Schizosaccharomyces pombe: one gene and its partners. The protein of the gene in region 4 interacts with the protein of the main gene of each other region in a biochemical or structural test. Each region holds a gene or a part of one and is shown on either strand. Other genes may lie near its edges.

Region 1 (7,460 bases), 2.9 Mb from region 4:
TCCTACAACACTGCGATAAAAATAAAAACCCTACCCTATATTGGAAGACAGTCACAAGCCACAACACATCTCTAATGAACACGGTGTGCTTTTTCTCACCACGAAAATGCCTTCCGCACCTGTAAGTAATCAAGTGTATATAAGAGTATTACTAACATTAAATTAGCGCAAGCAATCCAAGACTTACAAGGTCCCTCGCCGTCCTTTCGAGTCGGCTCGTCTTGATGCCGAACTCAAGCTTGCTGGTGAATACGGTTTGAGAAACAAACATGAAATTTGGCGTGTGGCTCTTACCCTTTCCAAGATTCGTCGTGCCGCCCGTGAGCTTTTGACACTTGATGAGAAGGATCCCAAGCGTCTTTTTGAAGGTAATGCCATCATTCGTCGTCTTGTTCGTTTGGGTATTTTGGATGAGACTCGTATGAAGCTCGATTATGTCTTGGCACTTCGTATCGAAGACTTTTTGGAGCGTCGTTTACAGACCCAAGTTTTCAAGCTTGGTTTGGCTAAGTCTATCCATCATGCACGTGTGTTGATCTTCCAACGTCACATTCGTGTTGGTAAGCAAATTGTCAATGTTCCTTCTTTTGTTGTCCGTTTGGATACTCAAAAGCACATTGACTTTGCCCTCTCCTCTCCTTATGGTGGTGGTCGTCCTGGTCGCTGCAAGAGAAAACGTCTCCGCTCTCAAGAGGGCGGTGAAGGAGAAGAAGCCGAAGAAGAGTAAATTAAGCAGGTGTGACATTCTCTTCTATACATTTCTAAATGGGATTTCTTCATAGCCGCTTCTATCTGCCTAATAAAGAAGTTTGTTTGATTGCATAGTGGTTAATTTTGTTTTGTGAAATTTTAATTATTGTACTTAATGTGTAGATTATAATTATGTAAGATTGTAGTGTCAGTTTATTTCATATGAGTAATATGATGAATTTGTTGTTTGTTTTGTAAAAAAGCTGCTTCAGGTAATAAACGGATTTTAAATAGAAGGTCGTTGATTAAGTTTTTCAGGCTTTAGATGGTAGTTGAGCTTCTACGGATATTAAATGTTAATTACTTCTATCGCTCGAATGGATAATTATTCAAACATCGGAGCCATTGCAATATGCTGACCTTTATTATTTGAAATCCATTATTGTATTAATTATGATATTCCCGTACGTTGCACATTCAGCGCTATTGTAAAAACTGAGTAGGTAATTTTTACTACACCAAAATGTCGATATTATTCGTCAGCTACGAACTTTGATGCTCTAAGTACTTATATTTATCCTTATTATAATAACCTTACCATTTTTTCCTACTACCGTTGTTTTTAATAGTTCCGCTGCTGAAATCACCTTATTGAACATGTGATATATGGCAATGTTGCATTCGTCTCTTCTTATCCACTACCACAAACCTTCTTGAACTGCTATAAAGGAATACACCAGCCAGTTTCTTTGGTCGAGATAGAAAGATTCTTATTTATTTCGTTCGTTTAAACAAACTAAACATAGAACAACATTATTTGCGTCAACACAACATGACTTCACATCAAACTGGGAAAATTGAGGTGCACTGGAACGATCCTTCTTCTGGTATCTTTTTAAGTCAAACTCAACGAACGTCTTCCACATCAAGTTTAAAGAAATCGGCTTCGAGTAGACGTTTGGTTTATGGTGATGACATGCTGGCACCCAAACCGTTAGCTGGTCAAGTACTTAGTAAATCACCACTTCCTCCTTTTTCACCTTCAAAAATTATGAACAGGAGTATATCTGTTCCTCCCACGAATATCTCTGTTCCTCAAATTAGCAGTAATCCTCTCAACTTGATGAAGAAAAGCAGTGACAATGATATCTTTACCACGTTTAACGATACAACAAACGATTGTATGAACGAAGCTTCTTGTGAAGATGTCAGGCACTCCCTATTGCAAATTATAGAAAGTAAATCAAATCTTAGTGATTCTGTTCATAAGATGTTGGGTGAACGAGTCAAAACGAATTTACTATTACAAGGTCAACTAGAAAACATGGAAGGCTTTTGGCTACAAAAATTATCGCAAACATGTCGCTTGGCGTTGACAGGAAACATTAGTGAGGCGAAGGCATTTATTGTAGAAATTATGTGTGCCGGTGTTGTAACTAATTGTGTGCGCTGGTGTCCAGTTTTGAAGACTCTAATTGAAAACCTTGCTATCTAGCTTTACATGTTGTTATATATTTTCTAAATCTTCCTGCTGCAAGTTATATGACACTAATGCTCTTTTTTTCTTAATTCTATCATTTTTAATGATGTTACTCATTTGCATTTTAACAAACCATTTATAAGCATGATTAGCTATGTCGGACGCTAACGAAGTTACAAGTTAAAGGATTTAATAACACTTCCTTTTTGAAATTAGAAGAAATCTTAATAGATATAATGGAAGTTTCCATTTTTTTTACAATATATATTTTTCTTATGGCCTGTCGATTAATAGTATTTTTAGTTTAATTTACTGAAACATTATATTTGTTTTTAGTGAACACCGTAGAATATTTAGGAATTTTGACTAGGTCTGTTTATCATACACACTTAGTATTAGATATCGTGATTTTTTGAATATATGAAAAAAAGTACTACAGACAGAAAATGCAGCGTATTAGCCTCAAGTAATTATTAAAAAAAATAAAAATTTTCTTTTAAAATTATACAGTGTTTACCAAAGTTATGTAAGACAATCAACTGCCGCTTCTCTCTCATTTCTGTTTATATACATCTTTAATGTTTATTACTTATTAAAAAAAAAAAAAAAAAAAAAAAAAAAACAAAGCAAATTACGTGCATTACCAAGAAAACAAAACCGCTCTAAATATTTAAGCTAATTAAAACAATGAAATAACAAATTTATTAACTTGTAACCGTAACAGTGGAATTTATTTTAACTGCTGTCATTTCTAGAATTTCATAAAGGGAGACATGAATAAATTTAACCTTATATTACAAATTGTAAATACGTAAATGTTTATCACAAAATCGAATACTCAAGTCATATTACTATGTACCTGTGCAAGCAACCATTTGTAAACCAAGTACAAAGGTAAACTGCCTCTGTCCGCGGTTGGCGCTCAAAAAGCTGAGCCAAGCCTATTTTTGGCAAACTATTTTTCGTGGGTGATTACGTTATGCATTGGTAATGAAGATAAGGAAGTGGAAGGTATTGAAAGTGGATTAAGAAGAAGTTGGCGCCAAATCTCCAAAACCTGTGCTTTACCAACAACGTTACCTAATAAAATTCATGTAAACAAAATTTCCAAAATTGTCATTCATTTTATTGTTCTCCAAATGTTTTCAATATGGAGACTTTAAAAGCAGATCTTTCGGATATGTCCGATTCCGTATGTCCTTATACTTGATTTGAATGTGTGTATATGTGTTAACAATGTTGATCAGCCTGAGTACTTTGAAACCTTGGCAAACAGGGATTTACCAAGATTGCCTGGAACAAGCAAGCTTCATCGAGCTGCATGTATTAAACGAAAATCTATCAATTTAAGCCTTCCTTCTAACAGTTATTCGCTTTCTTACCGACAATCAGACGACACTGATGGCGATGTTTCAGAATCACAGAGTGAATACAGGTTGAGTAGTGGAAGGAGGTCTCGAGCAAGCTTTGCTCGTGCTTTACAAGATCCCCAAACTCCAAACACTCCTCCCGTATCGTCTCAGCACCGAAGATTCTTTTCGGAGGGCTCCTTCAATTTGCCAAACTCCAACATGAGCCACTCATTAAATGGGGATTCTACAGCCTCTAATAGTTCTACTTTAACCCCTAATCGTATTTATGGGGACCGCAATCGTCAAGATTATGCTCAGTCTAGCCGATATACTTTGCCTTCGTTGCCTAGTTCCCCATCATATAACTGTCCTACAACACTTCGAAAAATACATACAAACACGAGTAGCAATGGAACTTCACGAAGAGTTAGCGGCCTAGGGTCTTTTATGGCACAGAATTCCTCTGAAACTAGCAGTAACAGGACTTCGGCGTATCTACCTGGTAGCTCTACGGATGAACAAGAAAAGCGTTCCAGTGTGACTTTGGCAAGTATGCCTTCCTCTCATTCGTCTACAGCGTCCCTCCTTTCACCTCTTGATACTACTTCTTTTTCTACTAAGTTGGACTCTACTATTTTGGCCTTGGAAACTGATGAGTCTCTCAGCCGAACAATTTCGTATGCCACTACTTCTTTACCGAGCACACCAGGTAAGCGTTTATCAAAGGAATCTCTTGCTATGTCTGAAGCCAGTTCTATCAATCCAGAATATAAGCGTATTAAAAAGCGTGCAAATTTGATTAAAGAGCTGGTTACTACTGAAGCTGCCTATTTAAACGATCTCATTGCGATTCAACAAAGTTATGGCTTGCGGGTCAAAGAATGCAGTGCATTGAATCCAGTTGACGCCCAAACAGTTTTTGGCGATATAGAGTCTTTATTAACTTTTACTGTGGAATTCCATAGTCGACTTTATCAAGCTGGTGAAGGCTCCTGGCGTGTAAACTTGGATACCCAGCTTATAGATCCTCTTCCTTGCAATTTAGGTCTTATTTTTTTAGAAAGCCTTTCTGAAATCGGTCAAATTTATACTGGTTATTGCAACCGTCAAGATTCGGTTTTCAAAATTATCACTAAATGGAGAGAGAAACCTGCAACTGCATCCTGGATTATGGAGGGTGATAAAATAGTTCAAAAATACACGAACGCCTGGGATTTGGGTAGTTTAATAATTAAACCTTTACAGCGCTTACTCAAGTACCCCCTATTATTGCAAAAAATCATTGATGTTACTCCTGAAAGTAGTTCTGAGCGCCCAGATTTGGTCCTTTCTTATCAACTATTACAGGAGTTAATATCTGGTATAAACCAGAAGCAGAAGCCTTCTCATAAGCGTGGGTCGTTAAGTGCTTCTCATAAACGAGACGCTGCTTGGAGTTTACTCTATAAAGCAACATCGAATAAATCTAGGCCCACCACTACATCTACTGAGTTAAAAACTGATGCTCGATTGAATTTTCAACGCCAAGTGCTTCAAGATTTTCGACAACGATTCGCTATATTAAAAGCCTTACATGCTACATTGGAAACGTGGTACGTTACTGTACATCGTGGATTTTCGGTTTTTGAAAAGGTTTTAGCAGAGCTTGAAGGGCTTAGTGCTTTAGAGCCCGAAGACAAGCCGGTAGATACGTGGCGTAAGTATCATTTACTTGCGCACATGATGACTGCTAACCTTCCTTCTCAAATACAAACGTCTTTAAATTCTTCTATCCTTAACCCAATCACAAATATCCTACGAGTGATTCAAAAAGTTATTCAGTTCATTATCAGCGCTGAATTTGTGATTCCTGCTCAAAAGCTTGAGGCAATTTCTACTCTTGTTGAGAAGGAATTTCACAGTGTTGTTTATCATTTTATTGGTATTCAACGCTCTCTCTATGAAAACTACGCTCAAGGTTTCTTGTTTCTTATCCCTCAAGACATGAGGGATAGCATCTTAGAAGAAACGCAAGATTATGCAGAGTTAGTTCGAGCCTTTGAACCCATGCATTATGATGACGAGGTATTGCTGGAGGAATTAATGAAAAGTGTCTCTTTAGCTGCGAGGGTTTAAGAGCAACTTCTTTAGTCGAATATTTTTTATCTGTTCTATATATATACACATTTAGATATACTGCATTCATGTTACTTGAATGATGAAAACGTTTCTCTGGACCATGGTTTTTTGCAGCTTCCATGTATTTAACATCACAATTACATTTATTTAACCTAATATCTGCGTTTGTCTGATTACAATTCGTTTAGGTTCTTTTAACGGTCTTTTTTTGTCTATCACAGAGGCCTGTTAAGTTTAGTTTCAAATTAGGATTCTAAACGCTTTTACGCCTTCCTTTTATGCATCTCATTATTTTTGTCTGCTCAAGTCGAGCTATTAATTATTGTCTTTTCACTTTTTTTTTTTAAACTAGGAACGTTTTGGCTTTTCTGCTGTTATGCCATTTTATTTGTTCATACGCTTCCACTTTTCATTTATATGCTTTAATAATGTATATAATATTTGACTTTCACTTTAACTATGTTTTATGTTTAAAATATGTAATTAGGTTTTGATTGAATTAATTTTGTTCGTCGTTATTTATCCTAGTTGACTAACAAAAACAGGTCAAATTCTTACATTCGTAGTAAAACCAAAACGTAAATAAAAATACTTACGATGAAACAGTCTGGAACCATCCGATAAAGTGCAATGATAAGTACGATAAATAACCTTTTAAAAGTCACACTGTTAATTACGGCAAATACAAATTTATTATACAAGAAACCAAAAAATTTATTTTTATAAAACTGTCTCAATAACCTTCATTATAGGTTAATGAGAACGACGAGAACGGACGGCAGCAGCCAACTGTTCAAAAACGGCGGTAGTGTCGTCCCAACCAATGCAAGCATCGGTGACACTGACTCCATATTTCATACTTGACAAATCATCCTCAGGTATAGCTTGCTTACCTTCGTTAAGGTGAGATTCGATCATGACACCAGTAATTGCTTTCTGACCGTTTGCCACCTGCTCAGCAATACAAGCAGCAACCTTGGGTTGATTCTTATGGTTTTTAGATGAGTTTCCATGAGAACAGTCGATCATGATACTAGGTAGCTTGTTGCATTCTTCGAGTTTAGCCTTGGCACCAGCCACTGAATCAGCATCGAAGTTAGTCCCACTTTTACCACCACGCAAAATAATGTGTGTATCAGGGTTACCTGTAGTAGTAACAATGGCTACAACACCCTGCTTTGTGACAGACAAGAAATGATGAGGGTTGGCAGAAGAATTCATAGCATCTATAGCAATACCAATGTTACCGTCAGTAGCATTCTTAAAACCTATTGGAAAAGAAAGCCCTGAAGCAAGTTCTCGATGCAATTGGGACTCAGTGGTACGAGCACCAATAGCGCCCCAGCAAATTAGATCAGCTAAATATTGGGGACTTATAGTGTCCAGCATCTCTGACGCTATACCGACACCAGTTTCCAGAAGCTCCAGAAAAATGCGTCGAGCGACACGAATACCCTTATTAATGTTATAAGATCCATCCAAATCGGGATCATTAATCAACCCTTTCCATCCAACAGTTGTACGAGGCTTTTCAAGATAGGCGCGCATAATAATATGCAAGTCCTTCTTGTGCTTAATAGCCTCCTTTTGCAAGCGAATGGCATACTCCTTGGCGGCAACAGGATCGTGTAAAGAACAGGGTCCAACGATTAGAAGAAGTCTATCATCACGTCCCGCAATGATATCGGCGGCTTGGCGTCTTTGATCCGACACAAAAGCAAGTGTTTCATCAGAGGCTGCTAATTCTGATTGAATTAAAGCAGGTGAAATTACTGGATCATAGCCTTTGATACGACTATCTTCAGTTTTACAACGTGAAA
Region 2 (8,781 bases), on a different chromosome or scaffold from region 4:
AATTGAGTCCTAAACCACAAATTCTCAAATACCAAGTAAGAAGGAGAGAGTAGCAAAGAATTTGCAGGTGTAATGAAATTTTAAAGTAACAGCAAGAAGTTTCACTTTATGTTTTTCTTCAAAACCAATGAAGAAAGATTTTTAAATTGCTGAAATTGATTATAGAGAATGAATATTAATAATAAATACCTTATTTTGTGTGCTTTTGGTCTCAAATTGATCAGATTGCTAATGTAAACAACTAGTGTTTCAAAGTAGCAAGCTCAAGGAAGAAAAAGACATACAGTAGCTTTTACTTAAACAAAGAACCTTCCAAGCACTAAATCTTTTCTTGTTTCAATTTTCACCCTGCATGTTACTGGTATGGTTTCATCAAATATTATTGTAGCGAGGTTTCAGGGATTAGCAGCTCCATTACAAATGTTCAGACATGATCTATATCCCCTTCTTTATAAGATTATATATCTGAACAGTTTCACATAGATTTATTATAAAGCAATAGAAACTGAGGTCGAGCTTTCGAAATCGAATAATTGTTTATAGATTTATTTTTTTTATCTTGAATATTTCCAAATTTTATTTCAACATTTATCAAAATCTGTTCACAAGCGTATTTTCCAGGTCATACGTCCGATTGCAGAGAAAGAGTAAAGCAGCTGACAGCCCCAAGGCAGAGCGGACCAACAAACATTCTCACGTTCTTCCATGCAATATGTCGTAACTTAGAAGAAGTTCGTAAATCGTTTACTAAATTGAATTTATTTACTTTTTACAAGAAAAACGAGTTGCTCTGTTGTATCGATAAATAAAATAGAGAAATTCACAGGTACTCATAATATAAAATTTCGTTACTGTAGTGTTTGTATAATGATGTATTGTGATAGATTTTTGTCACATAAGATTTTGGTGTGATGTGCCTTATTCCATTCGTTTCTTTATCAACGTACAATCGCGCTATCTTCATATAATAAATCGGCAAATTCCAGTAATAAAAAATAAGGATTTGTGCTAGTAATCACTATTGTACTTTATTTGAAGCCTATTTCTGCCATGAGTCCTTTTGGGGCAGTATAGGTAGGTAAAAAAAGTCAAAGTCCCATCATGCTCTTTGACAAACTCGTACACTTTAAGGGTTGTTAGGAATATATATAATAAATGTTTCTAATTCCCTTCCTCTTAAGTTTTACGTTCTACAGTTTACATTTCTATCCTACGAAGAAAGCAATTAATTATGATTGACATCGGTAGGGACGACGATATAATTATGAAGCTGCACCGATTTTTATTACCAAGGTTCTTCAAATTTTTTAAATAGCCTCTAATATATTATTGAAGAGCTTCATTCTTTCAATACTTTGTTAAGTCTTTTGATGCTTTCCTCTTCAAATCGAAAAATTCAGCGCACGTCGTTAACGAATTTTAATGTCTTCATTAAAATGCACAAATATACGTAAAAATAGTTTAATGTCTTCGGTATCTATCGTTGTAGCGGTTTATGTGTTGCTGCCAATATCCTTATATAGAGTAAACAGTCTTCCTACCATGCGTGTCTGAGTCGTCCACTAATTCAAACAATTACTCATGTTTCTAGGGCGATTGCTATTCATTGAGTAGTTTGAAGAAATTCATTCTTTCCAAATTTACTTTGTTGCTCCATGTTTACTTATTTTCGCCTTTTGCTCGTTTCGTCTATTTTCGTATGCTCATCATTTTTATGTCAGTTGTTACTTTGTCCACGATTTATGGTTGAAGTAAGCTTGCCCGGTCGATTAACGATAATTTATAAAATCAAAAGAATCAGTAGTTCAAACCAATTTGCTCAAGAGCGCTACTGTTCTTGGATCGCCACCTTTCGCTACTTCTTTCTTCTTATATCCGATGTAAGAATCTTCTTGTGGGTAAAAACCAACTTTCAAAGCAAAGAGAAACACATAATTGCCTGTCAAAAACGAATTTTATTAATAAACAGTAATTCACTACTAATTTTGTTTTGCCAAATTTTTCGTTTTCCATCTTACTTTCTCATTCCCTCCAAACTTCTTGTTTAATCAATTCTTCATACACTCTTATCATCGATTGTATAACGTCTTCGAACGCACTACGCTAATGAATTTTTCCTATATACTGAACACGTCAGTTTACTTCCATCGTCCGCAAGTCATCGTTTTCAACGCGAATGGTCTATTCTTTCGTTTCTTGTGATAATTGACTGTTCAATCGGCCTTAGCTTTATACCGAAATTTTATAAATCTATTTATTCAGCTTAAGATTTCATCGTTCAAGTCGATATTCTCTTTGATACCCTCTTTTGTCTTTGTTTGTTCCTTTTTCACACTTGCTGAGGCCATTCCTCACGATATTTAGGAGTTACGCTTTACCTAACAAACCATTTTTTGTCTACCATTTTGACACTCATTTTCTTTGTTCATTTCTTTCGCAACTCACTTCCTTGGCGAAACTGGTGGTTTTCGCCTGTTCTACTCTAGCTAGCTAAGCTCCCTCTCCCTGTGCATTCTTAGCCTACCTCTTTTTACCGATACAACGAATAGCGCTCCGTATATATCAGTTTGCCAGCTTGCGGATCGCCTCGGAATTCAAGTATTAGATATTACCAACTAACTTTGTTTGTTAAGTGAGAATTACGTTCTTATCATTCATTACGGTAGAATCGGGATTTTTATAAGCAGGCCTTTTTTTTTCCTTAATTAACGAGGATCTACCACTGATCACTTTCATACTTCCTCATTCCTTGCGATTTTGACATTTGAGGAATTAAAATTCCTTTTGGGGCTGACTGTTTCGCGGCGATTTTCATTTGCCGCCTAACTCTTTCGCTTCTGACGGACCAGTCTTCTTTTTTTTCCTTTTCTTAATTTTGTTGGTTTTTCGTTCACTTCTCGAACCACAACCTTCCTTAATAAGACGCTTTTTTTATCCGTAAACATTCGTTTTCCCGTTTACTTCTTTCTTTCTTCTTTTTTTTTGGGGTTTCCTTCTACTTATCTTTTGGATCGTTTCCTGATATCTTTAAAGGCAACCGTTTTTATCAGTTGGGGTCTACGTATTTAATTTGGATTACGAATCTTGTGCCTCGTTTCGCCTTAGCCAGTCTTTCTTTGCTAGCGACTTCTTTTTTCGTTCGATCTCATTGTTTCTTTTTATATTCTTTATTTTTTGTTAACCCACTGCTCCTTTAACTTTTAATACTTCTTTTCTCACTACCCTTTTCGTGTCATGGATGAGGAGTTTGAAAATGACTTTCCTTACAAGGTGATGCTTAATCAGCAACAGGATCCTTCTGATGCGCAATCGAGTCCTACATTTGTTCCTTCTGCAAACCCTTCCCTCACCACTCCTTGGTTACAAACCACTCCCTCTGCTAATCGCCCCACATGGCTACCGTTACAGCAGCACATGCATCAGCTTCGACACACTGGTCTTTTACCCGCCGTTGAATCGTCCTTTGTTCATGGCCATCGTCGAAGTGCTAGTGCTGGCGTTGGTATGGGCAATTTTTCCAACCAAGCCACTATTCCTTCTAATTCTCCAGCCGTTTCTAATATGCAACCACCGACTCAAGGCGGTCAACCCTTATACCCTACTAATTTCTTCACCACTTCGGTCTCTGCCTCTTCAGATTCCTTCCCTAACAGTCCGACCGTTCCTTCAAAGTTTAGCTTAAATCCATCAGTTGCTACATCTACGAACATTAGTCCAAGGCGGCATGCAAAAAGCCATAGTGTTGCTTCTGTTTCCTCTCCCAATTCCCATAACGCCGTACCGTTTACTCCCCATGCGTTCGTTCCTCCAGTCAACAACGCATCTCCTTTACCAGCCTTGAACACTTTACCACAATTATTGCGCCCTCGTAATTTGGATGCTCAATGGCGTCCTTCATCACTTTCTCAAACGAATAGTCCTACTCATGCCGCGAATCCATCTTTTCCTGGGACTATTGTAACTCATAATACCTCAAACTTTCGTCCTGAAGGCGGTGGTCATCGTCATCGTCGATCGACTGGCAGCTTAAGTGTTGGCTCCTCTGGCTCTGGTTTTTCTTCGGGAGGTTCAGGTAATCCCCGTAAAAATCTTTTTTCTCCTTATTTACCACAGTCATCGATTCCTGCTCTACTCGCTGAGCGTCGTTTGGTAACGGGTATTTTAATTGTAAGTAAGAAAAATAGATCAGACGCTTTTGTTAGTGTCGATGGTTTGGATGCGGAAGTATTCATATGTGGTTCGAAAGATCGCAATCGTGCCCTTGAGGGTGATGTCGTTGCCATAGAGCTGTTAGACGTTGACGAGGTATGGGCTGGTAAACTTGAAAAGGAAGAGAATCGAAGGCGTAAAGACCCAATTTCTACTAGAGGCTCTTTTGACAACCTTCGAATTGACGCCGTACCGTTTGAGGTTCCTCAGAGGTCTGCTATAAAAGCAAGAGATGATGAACAAGTGGAAGGGCAGACCCTGTTCCTTCTTGACCAAAAGCAGCTTGGTGCGGACGAAAAGCCAAAGTATGCTGGTCATGTCGTAGCAGTCTTGCAGAGGGCGCCAGGCCAGGTATTTTCTGGTACGCTTGGCATACTTCGGCCAAGTAGTGCCGCTAATAAGGAGAGGCAGACCTCGTCGGGTAATCAAGGCTCTTCCAATAACTCGGGAAATGACAAGCCCAAAATCGTATGGTTTAAGCCATCTGATAAACGTGTGCCTTTGATTGCAATTCCTACTGAACAAGCACCCACAGACTTTTTGGGTAACGATCAAGCATATGCTCAACGATTGTTTTTAGCTTCTATAAAGCGTTGGCCTGTAACTTCTCTACATCCTTTTGGTATGTTGGTTGGTGAATTAGGATCTATGGACTCTATGTCTGCTCAAGTATCCGCTTTATTACACGATACGGGTGTTCATAGTGAACCATGGGAAGGATCCGCCGCTACATCCGCCGTAACTGCACTCAATGCTTTATCGGATAATTTTTTAAACGTTGCTGGTTGTGCAGATTATCGATCTGAAGATGTCTTTTTATTTGTTAAAAATGACGTTAGCAAAGCAGCCGTTTCAGAAGTCAAGCAACATGAATCAAACATCAATTCTAGTTCTGCTACTGATTTCGTTTCTTCTGCCTTTCATATTCGACCAACTTCAACTGGTTATCATGTAGGAATCCATGTTACTGACGTTTCTCGTGTTATTGAGCCAGGATCCCCATTAGATCGCGAATTACAGCGAAGAAGTATTGCGGTGAATCTTTGCCAAAAGTCGGTTCCTTTGTTTCCCACTACGTTAGGTGAGGCTTTATCTTTACGAGAAGATAAGGATTGTTATACAATGTCTCTCTTACTGGATGTTTCCTCAACTGGTAAAATTCGTGGCACTTGGATTGGATGGGCTGTCATTCGTCCTCGCAAGGCATATACCATGAAGGAAGCTGATGAGTTGCTTCAAACTGATGCTAGACTTCGTTTATTCCATACCGTAAGCAGTCGCTTACGAACTCATCATCTTGGTACAGACGTGCCACTCAGCCGGTATTGTAGGTTAGTACGTCGATGGGATGAAGAAAGCTGCAGCTTTGATCCCAATGAAACGAATCTTTTTATTTCCTCGGCGGTTGAAGTTTTACGTGAAACTCTTTTGGATGCCGCTAATAGAGCCGTTGCAAGCCACTTGCGTCAGGAATTCCGTGAAAATGCATTCCTTAGGACTCAGCGATTGCCCTCTCGAGAAAACTGTCGCATATTACAAAGTATGGCCATTCAGATGGGATGTGTTTTAGATTTGTCTTCGACAAAATCACTTTTACGCTCTTTAAGTTTGATCGAAGACGATACTGTTCGTAACATTTTGCAGCTTTATTATTATAAGGTTACCCCAAGAGCAGTTTATGAAATGCAGAAGTATAAAGGCAATCTCGCTTCCCAGATGATGAGTCTTGGTATTGAGGACGAAAGTGACGATTTGACACATTTTACAGCACCTTTGGAACGTTATGGTGATATTGTAGTTCATTATCAACTGCAGTTGCTTTTGAGAGGAGAACTGGCTTCTGAAAAGCGCCTTCGTGTATGGTCGCAAGCGGCAAACGATGCAAGCCGTCGTCTGGTTATAAGCAAATTTGCGCAAGAAACTAGCATTCATATAAAAATATTTAGTGACTGGGCGGAGAGTCAGGTTTGGCAAGACGGTCTCGTATGTTTTGTTGCTCCATCATATTTTGACGTATTTTTCCCATCTCTAGGCATGGAGAAACGTGTTCATTTAGATTTGCTCAATCTAACCCACGTAAGGTTTGAAGAGGACCAGGGCATTTTATCTTTATACGACGAGAGCGGAGCCGTTACAGTTGTTAAATTGTTGACCTCTGTCAAAGTTAAGCTCTTTGTGCAGCTTTCGACTCCACCTCTTATCAACGTTTCAAATGTCGAGTTTTGATGTTGAACTTCGATTGTTTGCAATGTTTATTTCATGTATGTGTTTTTTGGTGACACATGTTCATTTTCGGATGCCTGGAATGGCTTTATATTCTCATTCATATTATTGCTCTTATTATTAGGCATTGTTGATAAAAAATATGTTACGATTCTAAAACTGCATTTTTTCCCATTCTTACTTTTCTCTTTAATTTCGACGAAGCTGTTACTTACGTCTAATATTTGTTTCTGGAGATTTACAAGTTTTGCATAGCCAAGGAGCTCGAAAACTCGGTTTAATCTTATACACTAAGATGCCGATTTTTTATGTTATATAACTAAAAGGATGATTAAACTTGATTACGATAGTTCACGATGATAGAGTTGGATGAAGGAATCCAGTAGTCTCGATACGTGATTTTATGAGTGCATGAGTTGATGATACCTTGAACTTTTCCTTTTTTATACATTAGATTGGATTTTGTTTCAAAAATGAAATCCTGCTTTTATATTGATACATGTCACTTTGTTGGCTTACCAGTAGATGAAGTGTCGTTTGCGTTTGCAATCACTGCGGCGATTAGGCAATCAGAAGTGGATTCTTATCGGTCGTTTGGGGTTAGCTGAGTCTTTTATTTTTTGTTTCTTTTTTTAAAATGAATCTACTATTGGACGACATCTTAGCAATTTTCAGTTGATTTTTTGCAATTTAAGTTCATTTCTTACACAAAATATTCAAATTTATAGTTATGAAACGTATCCGGGATGTGTTAGTTACTCATGTCCTATTTTATGATATGAAAACGGCATAAGATATTAAAAAGAAAAGGATTCTACAAATATTCTTAGTGATTACTATTTTTCATTTTTAACGCTGCCTTGTTATATCGGCTTTTGTTTACCAAGTGTATTAACTCGATATCGAGTATATTTTGATGTATACGCATGCTATACTGATTATAAAAAATTATTAATCCACAAAGTCTTAGAAATTATGAGAACTAAATGAAATACTCTTTAAAAATAGAAAAAAAGTTAAAAATATTTATGTTTCAAGTTAAACAACAATGTAAGGTTCTAGTGGTAAAGTAAGTATGTTTATTATTAGGTCGCGACGCGAGAGTACTTCGTATTTTGACAACAACACACTAAAAGTCAGAAATCAGAAGGCTATAATTTTTTATAGCACTAGAGATTTTGGGTTATTTTATATTAGAACCTTATAGTTTAAGGGTATAATTGCTTTTTTCCAGTCCTTTAAATTGTTTCGGTCGATAGGATTGATTCATGGAGAAAACATATGGGAAAACTGTATTGCCATTGAGCAGAGTAAAGAGGATAATAAAGCAAGATGAAGACGTACACTACTGTTCTAATGCATCTGCTTTGTTAATTTCAGTAGCTACTGTATGTGTGTTGTTGATAAATCAGCTATCTGGGCGACTTAGCACCATTTTGATTGCATAAAAGAAAAAGAAAAATAAAAGCTTACCTATTTTATGATTTAGGAATTATTTGTTGAAAAGTTAGCAACAGAGGCTTATCAACTTGCCAAATTACAAAAACGTAAAGGAATACGATACAGGGACGTTGAGGACGTTGTACGTAAGGACGATCAATTTGAATTTTTATCAGATTTGTTTTCTATATAATTAAAAAGTGTGAGAACTGGAAAACGGAAGCTTAAGTGTTTCCTTTCTTGTTCAGAAACTTCCTCATGAAATGAAAGGAAACAATCATCTTGTCAGTAAAATGTGATTTAATGAATTTTATTTGAGTTTTCTTCTTCGTTTTCATGCTCTTGTGTCTTTTTATCCACAATGCGCATTTTCAAACAGCTTTATCAAACAACTACTGTAGCTATTTGGATAAAATAGAACACATGTTCTCTTAAATTGGGTTACCTGATTTTTCATGTTTCAATCATGACTAATTTGCGGCCTTTGTTAGCTACATCTATAAACAATCTTAATGATTAGGAAATGGTTAAACGTTTGAACTCGATTGAAAGATATTGAAAAGCTACCAGCGCCCATCTGTATATTCTTCATTTAATTCCTTTCTCAATATCATTTGGTTCATTTATTTAAACAAAAATGCAGAGAAGGTCGAGCTTCTTTATCTAATCCCAGCGATGCAGACGTATTGCTTGCTTCATGGTTATATTCTATACCTCCGCTACCTTGCCGTGATAATGCCGTAATCGTACATTACTATACTCGAAAACTGATTTAAGATTTGTTCTGTTCTAAATTTCCGACTACCGAATGAATTACGACACTCCACCTTGTTTCGTTAATACTACTCCATTACTAACAATTGCGCAAATACTGAAAGCAAACCAGAACCAAGTAGAAAAAATGTCGGT
Region 3 (8,065 bases), on a different chromosome or scaffold from region 4:
TCAGAAGATTGTTGTTCTCTTATTGCAGCTATGCTGAATGTAAACCCACGGAAGCGCTGTTCTTTAGAACAAGCAGCAAAATTTCCCTGGTTAAAAAAAAATTCGTTTTGTTTGTATCTGCCTATTCCCTTAACCTCTATTCCCTCAACGCCTTCAATCCGATCTCATGTTTTCAAACCGCCTTTTAATTTAAAGGTTTTACAGCTGTTACATGAGCATGGTTTAGCAAGTATTCCCGAACTAAAACATGAACTTTACATGGCTTACATTGAGAGAAAAACAACTTCATTAGTCTGTCTGTATTTATTGGGTGTCGAAAGTCTCGCTCCAGCACTTCGAATTCCAACGGCTTTACCTCCTGTATATAGTAGACACCAACGGCATCATTCAGAAATTCTGGGTGCGATGGATTTGACAGAGAAAATTACTGCTATGCAGTGTCCACCTTAATTCCTCCTGGAGTAATTTTTGTTAGCATTTATTATGTGTTTTCGAAGAAGTTCCATTTTAATTAAAACCTGTGGCTCTTTTTCGTTACTTTAATTAAAGAGTTTCATTGTTTCTAAACTTAACTTTTTTCTTTTTTTTTTGTTAGTGGGTAAAGACGAGTTAAGGCTTTTTCTTTTTGTTTTCATTCTTAAATAATACAGTTTTGCAATCCAACATATACAAAGATTCTTACGACTTGCGTTATAATTTTAAAATATAATTGATCGATTTTTGATAGCATTACTTCTTTAAATCCGTCGCTTTTCATGAAATATTTGAATGCCGAATGCTATAAACATTTATAGATAGATACCTTTCGCCATTGAAACCGAATGAATTCTATAAGTTTCTTTGTCAGGTAATTTAATTACCTTTATTCTTAATCAATTTATTGGTTGAGTTATCTTTACATTACCCCAGTAGGTGTGGGTGCCAAGTAAACCTTCATCGATAGTATATCTAGTGAAATGGTGATAACAATACTGCATTGGATGATTGCTTGATACGTAAAGAAAATAATGAACATATATATACTTAACATTCTTACGAAAGTAATGGAAGAGAAAAATTAGAAATTACGTTGCGATATAATATATATTTTTTTAACTACAATATATATGTAATAACGGGCCCAAATTAGATGACAGGAAATTAGATGTAAGAAATCAATTCATAACGTAAGACATTGTTCAAAATTAAAAAAAAAAGAAAATTAGTGGGCAACTATTCAATGTTGCCCAATGTGCTCTTTGGAAACTAAGTATACACATATTCCTATAATAAACATAAAAAGGGAATAATTAAAGAGTTTAAAAGGTAAATGAAATAAATTATGGAAGGCATCATCTAGCATAACAAAGATATGCAAAATTAAAAAAATATAGATTTTTAAGCATGACATGAACAAATCAGCTGCATGCTTTTGTGACGCGTTAAAAATGATCGTTTGTTGAAAACAAAGCCATGTTTGCATAGAAATATTTTCAAAATAAATTAGAATTGGGCAACCAAGGTTCTAAAAGAGAAGGTCCCAATGAGTTAGCATCTTTGAGTGAGGAAGCAATAGGATCAGTTGATGTAAAATCCGTAATTTGTGAAAATAAATCATCCAATTCTTGAGAATGAGCGGCGAACTCATAATTGCCATTTGAGAACAAACTTTGAGAAAAACTATTAATGTCAACAAAGCCTTTACTTTGTTCGTCGCTTCTCCAGGTATTATTTTCAGTATGTCCAGAATTGGTAACACTAGACGAAGAGACGCATGTATAGCCAGAACTGCTGTTCAATCGACTCATTGCTGGGTAAGAAGTATGGCAATAAGGCGTAGATAAAAGTTCGGTCTCTTGGCCGTATAAATACGCAGTAGTGCTGCCTACACTGAGAGGAGTTCCTAGGTACTCAGCTCCATCAAAACCATAATGATCACCGGTATTCGGGGTTTTAGGTGATATACTGGCATTGGGGCAAGAGGGAGTTGAGGGTCGAGCATCAATAGGACTACAATGAGACAACACTTTATCGGCTGACAGCTCTGGACTATCAGAGTTACTTTGCTCACTCACGGTTCCTTTAGAATCAAATTTTGGAACTCTTCGAGCAGAGCAATTGCTTGAATTTTGAGGCAAGTTCGCCTCCAAGCTCGGTGTTTTTGACATTTGATAAGATTTGTCAACACAGCCATCAGATGACATTGATCTTTTCGGTACTATTCGGGCTTTATTAGCTAAACACACAGATTTTGTTCGCCCGATTGGACTACCGCTACTGGGTGATCTATAATAGATGCCCAAAGAACTAGGAGCTTGCTCGGATTTATCCAATGTAGAAATAGTTGTAGAAACTTGATCGGTGAAGGATAAGGAAGGAATTGTATGACTTCGAATCATTGGGGAAGACGAAAGACAAGACAATTCACTGGTTTCAATAAGATTCGATTTACCTGACTTTGGATATGAAAGAGCGGGAGCTAATAAAGCTGCTAAAGTTTCCTCCTCATTAACAGGCTTTTCGGGTTCGGTCTGTTTTAGAGTCTTAGAAGATTGTGCAATTTGCTGCAGTACAACGTAATCCGAGGCCACAAAAGATCCGGAAGAAGGTGATACCTTTTTATGGCGTCTACGAACAGTAGACCGCTTTTTAGGGGTGTACTTGTATTCGGGATTTTCCAGCATATGTTTCTGCCTTTCGAGGGCGGATAAATCAGAATAATACTTCTTGACTTGGGCACTTTCATTTCTCCACAGCTGACCAATGATACGTGAGATACTTTGGTGATTAGAAGTAGGAATTTCAGCTTGGCGATCTCGACGATAAAGCATAAAACTGTTTAAAGGTCGCTTAACAGAACTTTTTTGGTCCTTTTGCTCGGCTGTTAAAGAAGCAGACATTGTGTAGAGAAGAGTAAATATAAAAATTGTAGTAAAAGTAAGGGAGAAAATAAAACAAATGAAACGGTTCTTAGAATTAATTAGAAAGATGATTCAGTAAGAACAAAGCAAACATAAATGAAGTTCGCAGTCAGAAAGAACGAAGTAGAAAAGAAGCGAACAGCACAAACCGAGGGAGAGGGGATGAGATCAGAAAACAGTAAAGAAATAAACACCGAATAAAAACTGGTGTGAAGGATTTTTTTCTATTTAAAAAAAGAAAAATGGTATTAAGATAGAAAGAAATCTCAAACTAACAAGAATGAAAAATGAACAAATTATTCACAGTGAAGTAACAGATGAATATAGTAAAAGTAAAATTCCCTTGTATGTATCAACAAATAAATGAAAATAAAATTTCCGTCAATCTAGATATTAAACAAGCTTGTTCGCCAAAGAAATCAAGTTCAAGCTTAATGAATAGAGACTGACTGGACTAAAAAAAAGAAAAAAGTGACAAAAGTATATTTGATGCCAGGTTTTTCCTAAACGAAAAAAGTAAGGTAATGAAATAATAAATGAAACTAATGGAATTTCCAGCTCAAGAAGAAAAAAACAGAAGCAACACTCAAAGCCGATTTGAAAAATGTAAAGAAGCGTAGAAAAAAAAAGATGAAAGTTGAGACTGAAAAGTTACTAGATCGAGTTGGAATGATGAAGGATATTTTTCGTAAAGGCGATTGAATCAAGGATAACTTGAAAGAGACAATTAGTAGAGGTCCAAGTGGAAGAAGGAGTGAAAGTGATATATAATAGAAGGCCACAAGAAAAAAATTGAAGCTTTAAAAGTGATTTTCTTATAAGCCTAATTTTAAGTTGAGGAGATTTGAAAACGAGAACAAAATCACGAGCCTCTAAGGCTTTTTTTTCTCTATATAAAACGGAGGAAAAACTAAAAACAAGAAAGAGCGGAATAGTTAACAGGAAAAACAGACGAAACGGAAGACTAAATAACGGAAAAGTGAGTCAAATAAAAAGGCGTAACAAGGGAGAAATTTCAGAGACACCGATAACTGAAGAATGGTTGAGCTCTGTAAGATGGTGAAACTTTGGGTATACAAATAAAGTGAGGAATACCAATGAATACGTGAATAATGCGACAATGACAGGGGAGAAATAATGTTATAACATGAGCCAACAAAGACCGATGGTGAATGCAACTTAATTCTGAATGGTGTGTACTAATGGAATCACAAAAGAAACACGTTAAAAAAAGGATATTAAAATAAAATGAGGAATGAAAATCTAATAGATCAGATATCAAGGATAAGCAGCCAAGCGATAGAATAACGATGCGAATAAAAAAAATTTAAAGTTGGGCAAAAATTGCAACAAAGAAACAACTTAGTTAATTAGTAGAGAGAAAGTTGATAAAGGATAACTATGGTGGTAGAGACAAAGAAATATATAAAAAAATTTTGACGTAGAAAAAAAATAAAAAAAAGGGGGGGATTCGACGTACAGTAAGGGAATCGACGTAAAAATTAAAAAAAAAGATAAAATCCTTTTGATTTCAAGAAACGAAAAAATTATTCCAACACTTCTCAATTAACAATTCCAACAGAGGAGGATCCCAAAAGAACGTAGAGGCAAGAAAAACGAGAAAAGTTTGAAGAGAGAAGCGAAGCCAATTGGACCAACAAAATGAAGAAACAGAATAGAAGAAGAAAAAAAAGTTTAAGTCTGTTTACTATAAAGAAAAGAAGAGATGTGAATAAAAATTAATCAACAAATTAAACTTAGAAATAGTCAGTGAAAATAAGTCAAAGTAAAGTCAAAACAAAGAAAAGAATAGAGCTAAGCCAAAGCAAACCAAGATAAAGGAATAGACTTAACACGAATAGACAGGAAAGAATGGGAGGAGGCAAGCTAATTCAAAGACGACAAGCTGCAATCAAGACAAAGACCAGAAAAGTTAAGTTAAGTTGAGTAAAAAAAAAAAAGAAAACAAAGAGAAAACAAAAAAACGAGGCAAAAGCTCTCAAAGAAAAATAAAATGCAAACTAATCAAATGAAATACTTTCTTTTAGCATTCACAATCAGGTTTAAGATTGAAAAGTCAGAATGCTAATAATGCTTTGTTTATTTGATAATAAAGAAAATCCAATATACGACGCGAAACAATTCAACGCTGGATATCCTTTTAATATATGCTAAATGAATAGATTCTCACTATGTAAGTCACCAGGTATGTATGTATATATATATATATATACATACGCATTGGCAACCAACTAGTAAGAGTATAGAGCGAGGCGTAATACGCGATGTTACTGACAATGAAAATCAAACAAAGAAATTCAACTTTTTTAAGTCTAGCCAAAATGTGTATGAGGGGAAGGGACAAAATTCACAGGGGTTAAAGTAACATATGATGCGAAAGCATTTGTCACTTTTACTTGCCTACAAACGATGTAACACAGCAAACAAAGTCAGGGATTCCCCCCTGTACAAAAGATTAGTGTGGCACTTGGCAAAAAGTCTCGCAAAGCTACTTTTCGTTGAGGGAGATAGCGCAAGGCAAAATGACAAGAAGCCAACGACTAGTCTTCCAATGAATGAGGAATTGTAGAACGCTGGGGAAGTTGGAGAGTTAAGGAGGGGTGGAGAAAGCAAAATAGAGTAAGCGGGCATTTGAAGAGCGGCAATTTGCGAAACCGCAGGGTATTATAGGTAAGGTTTAAGCAAATGTTAAAAGAATAAAAAAGCATAGCGAATGTGTGAAAACAAGTGCCGGCAGTTTGAGTAGTAAGCAAGTGATGAGGAAGTAGTTTGGGGTGAACGGAACGGGAGTGAAATAAGAATGGCGAAGACTTGGAGTCATGATGAAAAATACAGGTACTACGAGCGGAAGGAAAGAAACCACACACATACAATGATTCTATCGAGTCATTGCCATTGGAATTTTGCTACAATTTACCGAAAATTAGGCGTGGGTGCTTGTGTTTCCCTTCCATCATCCCTGGAGATGGCATGCACCACAAATAATCTATCGCTACAGTGATAGACATGTAAGATGGAGAACAAGAATGTCGGAAAGGTAAGTGCTGTGGTAGTACAGGGTGATTTGCATAAGAATGACATTTTTTTAGCAAGATCATAAAATGGGAAACGCGATGGAAGAGACTATGTGAGACACAATGTATGCTGTAAAAGTATAATCTTATTATATTAAAAAAAGAACGACGAATAAATTGAGAAAGGTGAAAATTTCAAAAAAAAAATAAATGGAATGGAAAAAAGAAATAAAACCATTGAAAACGATAAAAGTCCAAAGACTAGACATTATTTTAGAGAAGGAAATGAATGCTACTTGAATTTGTGCAAAGTAGCTTTGACTTATGCAATGTAATAGAAAATAGGAATTGCCGCCAGATTAGCGTATGTGTGCGTACAACTTGAGATATGCGCTAATTTCCATTGCATATCACCCAATCGCACTATTAACCTGGGCTTTTGTAAGAATTGAGCGAGCGACCAGCAAAACAAGGTTGAGCTTAAAAGGTGGATGACCCGCCGAGTCAGAAAATGGCGGCCGGCAAGATGCAGAGAGGAAGGAGACGATAGGAAGGAGAGATGGGAGAAAGTAGAGGTAAAGATGAAGATGAAGATGTAGATTAGTTATAGATGAAGACGAGTTTTGAATGAAAAAGGTTACTACTGAACGATAACGAATTTAATTTGAAAACGAATATAATTTTTTGAAAACGACTATACTTTGAAAATAACCTAAACCGATAAATTTATAGCTAAAAACTTCACAAATTGTATTGTGGAATGTTTTCTTACATATCACCAAAATTGCATCCTTTTGGAACTGGACTCTGCTAGCCAACTGTGCTTATCATTGTTGACTTGTATAATCCCTCATTGCGGCTAATCGATGTTGGATAGACAGTAAATGAAAAAAATGGAGAAAAACAATTTGGTGAAAAAATTGACCATCCTATATATGGGTGACTCTTGATCATATGTATATCTCTGATCATATGTGTCTTTGACCATATGTATCTTTAAAAATGCTATAGTGTTTTACAAGCGTAACTTATTAAATTTCTACCAACCCATTTTATTGTCATATCCATTCTCCTCTAGTATCTATTCTATCTTACTACTTCTTCCTATTCTACTCGAATAAACTTGCCGATTAACTTTTTGCTCTAGAGCCGAGTCCACTTTTGAAGCGGGGCTTTTTCTCAACAAAATGACATTTTCTCTTCAACTGCGAAATCAAACCATTCTTTTTTCTACTGTTGCTTCAGCCACCAATCTGATTACGATACAATCTCAAATGGCGCTGCTCAGTATCAACTTGCCGGCAAACTTCGTACCATCCAAATTAAATCAACAGCAACCATACAATGTAATGATATATACGCGACAACTTATCCGGACAAGTGTACTGTTTTTTAGTGTTGTATTCCTATCTACTATCTATAAAAAGAATTACAAATTTCATGAATTATTATGCAACTAAGAACGAAACGCACTTTTTACAACTTCCTTGTTTTGTCTTACCTTACTCTGTGTAATACGTATTTTTTTCAAGTGGGCGCCCACAACTGTAGGTGAGAAGAGTGATGGTCATTTTGTAACTATGATGGCAACAAGCTCAAATAACGTTGCCTTGGTACATTTAGGGACATATTTTTTTTTTCCAGTTCAGTAGTATCTAAGCCTACCTTGAAATCCCACGCACAACCTTAAAAATAGTACACTTTATACCACATACTCTAATGCTGCCGGATGCACTTTTCCGGTTGAGCGTTGCAACTTCATTTTATATATTTCGCTGTTGACGATGAATGTGTCTTAAATTGACGTACAAAAAAAATATATTAGGTTGCAAATTATTACACCATTAGTCGTTGTTGGATTGCGTTCACGTTAGAATGTGCTATTTCCTTGAAGTGGAGGAATTCAGGGGATGGTTAGTTTGAAGTTGGAGGAGATTCAAGGAGGAGCGAATGGATGAAATACAATTAAATGAATAGCCGATTTGCTGGAGAGCAATTCGATAAAACTGGTAATGAGCGAGAAAACGGCGCAAATTATTTTAAAAAAAAAAAAAAAAAAAAGAAAAAAGAAAAACAAATGCAATACTCAAAATATGGTGGTCCATCAGTGGCAAGCAATCTTACACTGCG
Region 4 (5,875 bases):
CCCAAGAGATGGAAATGACTCTTCCATCGGGTGCATTACCAAACGTTTGAGTGGCATAGCAATCGTGACCGCAATCCAAAATTCTGGACGCGCTATCAATTGGAGTGAAGGTTTGACCATCAAAATCTCCAATAAAATATTGAACCATGCTACCCCCATTGATCGAAGAACCAGGATTAATGGAAACAATCAGTACCCATCGAAACTCGTCGGTACCCTCGATAGGGAGACGAACAAAGTCAGGGCATTCGTATTGGTATCCTAAAACGCCTGCAGAACCAAATTCCGAAAGTTTTACCCAATCGCGAAGGTTTAGGGAATGGTAAAACAGAACTTTGTATTTTTGAGCTAACACTACAACCATGATCCATGCTCTACTTTCTTCATGCCAAAACACTTTTGGGTCGCGGAACTGCGATTCCTTGATGTCGAGGATGGGATTCTTTTTGTATTTGATAAATGTGATACCTCCATCCAATGAGTAGGCAATGTTTTGAGTTTCACGATTATCATAATGCGTTGTATAAATCAACACAATTCTTTCTTCAGGGTCAACCGACTTTCTCGAAAAAAATCCACTTTCAAAAAAGCCTGATGAGTTGGTTTTATCGATCACTGCGCTTCCGCTAAACATTAATCCATGATCGTCTCCAGGTGCAAGGGCGGTAGGTAGTAATTTCCATTTATACAGGTTTTTACTCACTGCATGGCCCCAATGTTGATTACCGGCTTGGTTTCCTGTTGGATTCCATTGAAAAAACAAATGCCATTTTCCATTACTGTAAACCAGACCATTGGGATCATTCATAAATCCTTCTGGAGGCGTGAAATGTATGCATGGTCTCACAGGCATCGATTCAAATGTTTACTGTGCGTTTTATATGCAAACTTAAAGCTTTTATATTTAATAATGTTTGAGTATCACTAGAACATACAAATTTTTAAGCTTTGTGTAAAAAGTGGTACATCGGTCGTATGCAAGGAATATTAAGCAATTCGGTGCAAATCAGTCAAAAAGCTCAAATTCAATCCGATAGGCTTAAACATTCTCAATCTACCAACTCTTCAGTTTGAAACTCACATCTATCTAGACTATTGCTTGATTAACTCAACACCCACTTAGCCAAGCAAATCATTACGGGTTGTGTACTCGAAATTAAAATGTCGTCCAACTACTGTATTTTTTACAGCAGCTACCAAATACACACATATACTACGACTGTAAAAAAAAAAGAAATTTAAAGAAAGACAAAAAGAAAAAAAAATTAGAAGAAAATATACGAGAATGTAATGAGACTATTCCATCGTGTAGTACACAAGATCTAAACGAAAAAGAACTCTTAGACAAATAAATTTTTTAAAATTGGTTCATAGTAGTGAAAGTATGGCATCAATCATGAGCAACGAGCTATCTATGCGTCCGCCTTGGGCTCAGCTTCGCCTTCTGGAGCATTGGAAGGAGCGTTTTCTTGAGCTCCCTCGGTGTTACCACCAGCAGCGGCGGCACTGTATTCAGCATCAGAAGTCCATAAGGTAAGGTTGTCACGCAACAATTGCATGATTAAAGTAGAATCTTTGTAGGATTCCTCGGAAAGGCTGTCCAACTCGGAGATAGCTTCATCAAAGGCTTGCTTGGCTAAGTAGCAAGCACGGTCGGGGGAGTTCAAGATCTCATAGTAGAAAACGGAGAAATTAAGAGCAAGACCTAAGCGGATAGGATGAGTAGGTGCAAGTTCGGCGGTAGCAATTTCAGAAGCGGCCTTGTAACCTTCAAGAGATTGATCAGCGGAGTGTTGGCGCTTCTCACCAACGGCAAACTCAGCAAGGTAACGATAGTAGTCACCCTTCATCTTGTAGTAGAAAACCTTGGATTCGGCAGAGGCAGCATTAGGGATAAGGTGCTTCTCAAGAACGGTCAAGATATCTTGGCAAATAGTGTCAAGTTCTTGTTCAATCTTTTGACGATATTCCTTAATTAATTCAACTTGAGCAGTATTGCCTTTGCTCTCCTCCTTTTGCTCGATGGAGGAAACGATACGCCAAGACGCCCGGCGAGCTCCAATTACATTCTTATAAGCAACAGAGAGCAAGTTACGCTCTTCGACGGTCAATTCTTGATCAGTGGAGGCAACGCTTTTCATGTTTTCAACCATGCCTGGATATATTAGTGATAAGTACATAAGGATTTCGACTTTCGAGATGCGCAGCATGATGTATTTTCCGTATGTCTGTATGAACAAAAAAATTTCTTCTCGGAGTAAAAACAATTAGAAATAAAGTTAGGAAACAAGTTGAAATACTAAAACACCTTTTCAACATCACCATAGCCAATGCACAGTTCATTTGACAACCACCATACAACACACAAACACAAACATTCTACCAACTAAGCCTCTGATCACAACTATGTCAAAAATAAATGCAATCGATGTTTTACAGGAAGCCCGCTTACTCAAAAGCTTCCGCCGATAGAACCTTGGATGTGTGTAATTTTGTTCTTGCAGAAATAACACCAAATATATCTCTGCTCTACGCGTCTCTAAACCTTATAAAAGCACATACCTTCATAGCGCTCGGCTTGCTCAGCAAGTTTGGCTAAATAAACAGCATCTTCACGAGAAGTAGTAGACATTTTTACCAAACGTTCGAAAATGTGAGTATATCGTGGTGGTTGGCACTGGAAAGGTTGCGGAACGTCGTATGGTAGAAAAAGGACTGCTCCCACAGTAAAATTTCGTAGCACTGCGTAAACGTGCCCTGTGCTTCTGTATGTCGAATTTAGCGACTGCGCATCGTAATTTATCGGCACGACAGAAGGTTATCGAAAAACCTGGCTGCTGGACTGTTCTCGTTTGTTGCGACAAAGCCCCGGGGTAAACACATCCTTGGCAACGGATCAAGAGAAACTGTACCCCTTTTGTCATATTGACGCAAAAGGTAAACATCGAAAGGAAGGTGCCTGAACACGTGCAAATCTGCAGGCCTTCATAGAATCGGGAAATAAACTGGAACAAAGGTGATGACGAATTCTGTCTCACACGATATAATTGTTTGGTGGAAGTCAGATTGTCCAACGATTGCAATGAAAGGCGCTCAGCTTTTGTTAATTGATACATGCGATAGCAACTTCACATGACACTACTTAAACAAATTTGTTGACTCGTAAGAATAAGTTGCTTTTGGGGGTTTGCGCCATTCGCAACTATTTGATAAATGTGTAGTTAAGAAAATCTTGGTTTGGTTATCTAAAATGGCGCGAGCTTCTCATCCAAACTTTTTCTTTAAAGCCATTTTAGAGACCAATAGTGAACTGATTATTGTATTAAAGATATAGTATTGCAGCAGTAAAATGTTAACATTAACGTAATCAGTGCACTCAATTTTGTTAAAACATAAGCACAAACGCAATGATAAAAGGCATTGCTGAACTTGGCTGATCTTTTTTCTTATTTCTCTTCTTTTTTTGTTTTTTTTTTGGAATAGGTAGAAAATCAATTAGGAAACGTCTGCTATGCCACCAGGTGTAATCACATAACTGCACTCGGCTTCAGGCATATCTGGAGAATCATTCAATTTTGCGACACGTTCCTCACCTCGACCTTTTCTTAACAGCAGACGGGTCGCGCTTGCGTGAGCCATGACATGGCCTCCTACAGGTTTTCGATCGTTGGACGCAAACATCATTGCTGCTCCGGGGTCTGCTTGAACCTGATTTGTGACAAAGACCGCTACGTTAAACTCTTCAGAAATATGATTTAATCTAGCAAGCATAATGTTTAATTTTTGTTGCCTTTCTGATAATTCCCCGCGACCCGAATAGTCAACCCGAAATAGTGCCATGATGGAATCGACAATTAACAAACGGTATTGGCCATCTTCAGCAAAAATGGTTCCTAATTTTGTGATGTATTCCATTTGTTGCTCAGAGTTGTATGCTCTACTGACAATGATATTCTCCATAGCCTGATCGGCGTCTACACCAAATCGTTCTGCAATGGCTTTGATTCGATCAGGTCGAAATGTTCCTTCTGTATCTATGAATGCTACTTTTCCTTCGGCCCCGCCCATATCTCGAGGAAGCTGGGCAGTGACACACAATGTATGCGACATTTGTGTTTTACCACAACGAAACTCTCCAAATACTTCTGTAATACTCATCGACTGAATTCCCCCTCCAAGGATGCCATTGAGTGCCTCGGATCCTGTCGAAATACTCCATACTTTTTTACGATTTTGACTGATTTCCATCGCAGTGGAAAAGTTTGCTGGGCACATTTTTGATGCCGCTTCCTTCAGTTTATCCACTTTGGCTTCGCTGAAACCTTTGATTTTAAGGAGAAATCTCTTTGTGGACATATGGACTCCTTGCACCGTACAAACGCCTGCTTGCTTCAATTTTATGATATCGGTCATACCAATCCCTTTGATTATGTTAGTAGATATTTAAAGCAAATACTGGGAGTCTTATAACTGCCGTATACTCATTCAAGCTTACCGTGAGCAGTTAGGTCTTCAATGTCACTAAATATCATTTGTTCATCATCATTCCCCTCTGCGAATTCTTCCATTGCACTTTATTTTTATATTGAACGTGTATTAATCAAATTACACGGTTTTTGGTTGTTGTTCGTACTATGTAGAAAGAAGAATTGCTGTAGTTATCCACGATATATATATTGCGGAAATTCCCAAAATTACCTCTCTAAATCACAACAAAAAAACAGTAGATCTATTTGTTTCTTTAGTTTAATTACTTTACAAGTTCAACTATAGAGTATATGCACTCATAATCATGTATTATACTTGATGCAGCTACATGTAAACAATGAACGCGTCGCGAAATATTGCTACTAAAAATGAAAACTAAACTCCATAGTATCTATACTCAAAACAAAATGCTTCAATCCTTAAAATGCCATAAATGAGTAAAACTGTTGGAGAGAACCTACCAAATGGGATGACAATTCATAGTCTTAAGTTACTAGTATGAAACTGCTTTCTAAAAAAGGGAAAAGTTAATCACGGTAAATCTTATTTAATTTTATGAGTAACTCTAAAAGTGCAAAAGACTCGTCAATTTCCTTCATTTGCAAAGTCTCAACACCAAAAACACAATACTTATGGTGAACCAATAACTGTCTGAGTAAATTTATACATAGCCATAAACGATTCTGAAGAGAGAGAGTGGGCGTCTCCCTCAAAAGGTCGATCGAGACATTTTAACTGTAGATTGTTGATGAGGTATTTAGCTGAAGCACTCGACAAGACAGAGGGAACAATAGGATCTTCGGTCATATAAGTCAAAAGAATGGGTATCTCTTTAGCAACTCGAGAGAGAGCGGATGGAAATTTTGAAGCCAAAGGTAAGAACCCTGAATGCCCCATAATTCCTGCTAAACGTTTGGGATAGGTAAGTCCAGCGTAAAGGGAAACCATACAACCTAGAGAAAATGACGAGTTAGTAAGCAATATACTTTTGAAAAGTGAAAACCATTTCACTTTTTTTTTGAAAATGCAATGACTAGCGAGTTAACCGCTTTCATGGCAGCTCATACCTTGTGAAAATCCGCCAATTAATATGCGATCACTAGGAATCCCCAAAGCAAGTTCTGCATCAATCAATTCATGCAATTGGCCTGCTGAACGTAGTATCCCATTCTCGTCCTCCCTCTTCATATCCGCAAAACTGTAGATATCATACCTAAAAAAGTTTTAGCGAACATTGTACTTTATCATCAAGCAGAACAATTACTTACCATGCTGGCATTTTCATGCCATTGTTGACGGTAACAGGGATAGATGGACTATATACAAAATAATTAGCATCAAAATACAAAGTATGTAATGCGAATTCTCATTCATTCATCACACATTA

What was found.
Region 1: the proteins of rad24 (region 4) and gef1 form a complex in vitro, tested with the Schizosaccharomyces pombe proteins (one study listed by BioGRID).
Region 2: the proteins of rad24 (region 4) and sts5 form a complex in vitro, tested with the Schizosaccharomyces pombe proteins (one study listed by BioGRID).
Region 3: the proteins of rad24 (region 4) and ste11 form a complex in vitro, tested with the Schizosaccharomyces pombe proteins (one study listed by BioGRID).

The regions. Positions count from the first base shown.
Region 1 is NC_003424.3:468,760-476,219, reverse strand, and holds gef1 (RhoGEF for Cdc42 (Gef1)), read left to right. Parts: upstream 1-3,229; 5' UTR 3,230-3,320; coding exon 3,321-3,362; intron 3,363-3,417; coding exon 3,418-5,637; 3' UTR 5,638-6,239; downstream 6,240-7,460. Other genes in the region: rps901 (40S ribosomal protein S9), read left to right, coding at 107-121, 167-727; SPOM_SPAC24H6.08 (uncharacterized protein), read left to right, coding at 1,523-2,185; SPOM_SPAC24H6.10C (phospho-2-dehydro-3-deoxyheptonate aldolase), read right to left, coding at 6,394-7,460. UniProt on the Schizosaccharomyces pombe protein: Has a role in the control of cell polarity and cytokinesis. Involved in bipolar growth, via modulation of cdc42-shk1-orb6 signaling, and septum formation. Stimulates guanine nucleotide exchange of cdc42.
Region 2 is NC_003421.2:677,128-685,908, forward strand, and holds sts5 (Dis3L2-like 3'-5'-exoribonuclease), read left to right. Parts: upstream 1-2,707; 5' UTR 2,708-3,234; coding exon 3,235-6,435; 3' UTR 6,436-6,956; downstream 6,957-8,781. Other genes in the region: DNA polymerase epsilon Dpb3, read left to right, coding at 7,701-7,820, 7,922-8,065; pgl1 (6-phosphogluconolactonase), read left to right, coding at 8,774-8,781. UniProt on the Schizosaccharomyces pombe protein: Required for the maintenance of cell shape during interphase. Required for localization of cortical actin to the growing tips before mitosis.
Region 3 is NC_003423.3:3,980,400-3,988,464, reverse strand, and holds ste11 (DNA-binding transcription factor Ste11), read right to left. Parts: upstream 5,090-8,065; 5' UTR 2,880-5,089; coding exon 1,473-2,879; 3' UTR 1,065-1,472; downstream 1-1,064. Other genes in the region: serine/threonine protein kinase Ppk25, read left to right, coding at 1-450. UniProt on the Schizosaccharomyces pombe protein: Key transcription factor for sexual development. Activates the transcription of the matp, matm, mei2, mfm, ste6 and rgs1 genes. Binds specifically to a DNA fragment carrying a 10-base motif 5'-TTCTTTGTTY-3'.
Region 4 is NC_003424.3:3,381,025-3,386,899, reverse strand, and holds rad24 (14-3-3 protein Rad24), read right to left. Parts: upstream 2,674-5,875; 5' UTR 2,633-2,673; coding exon 2,563-2,632; exon of another isoform or gene 2,364-2,562; intron 2,156-2,363; coding exon 1,413-2,155; 3' UTR 1,215-1,412; downstream 1-1,214. Other genes in the region: inv2 (beta-fructofuranosidase), read right to left, coding at 1-853; RecA family ATPase Dmc1, read right to left, coding at 3,496-4,421, 4,496-4,568; SPOM_SPAC8E11.04C (palmitoyl-(protein) hydrolase), read right to left, coding at 5,119-5,441, 5,556-5,701, 5,757-5,804. UniProt on the Schizosaccharomyces pombe protein: Acts in cell cycle and stress checkpoint signaling by sequestering signal transducers regulated by the checkpoints. Required for the DNA damage checkpoint that ensures that DNA damage is repaired before mitosis is attempted.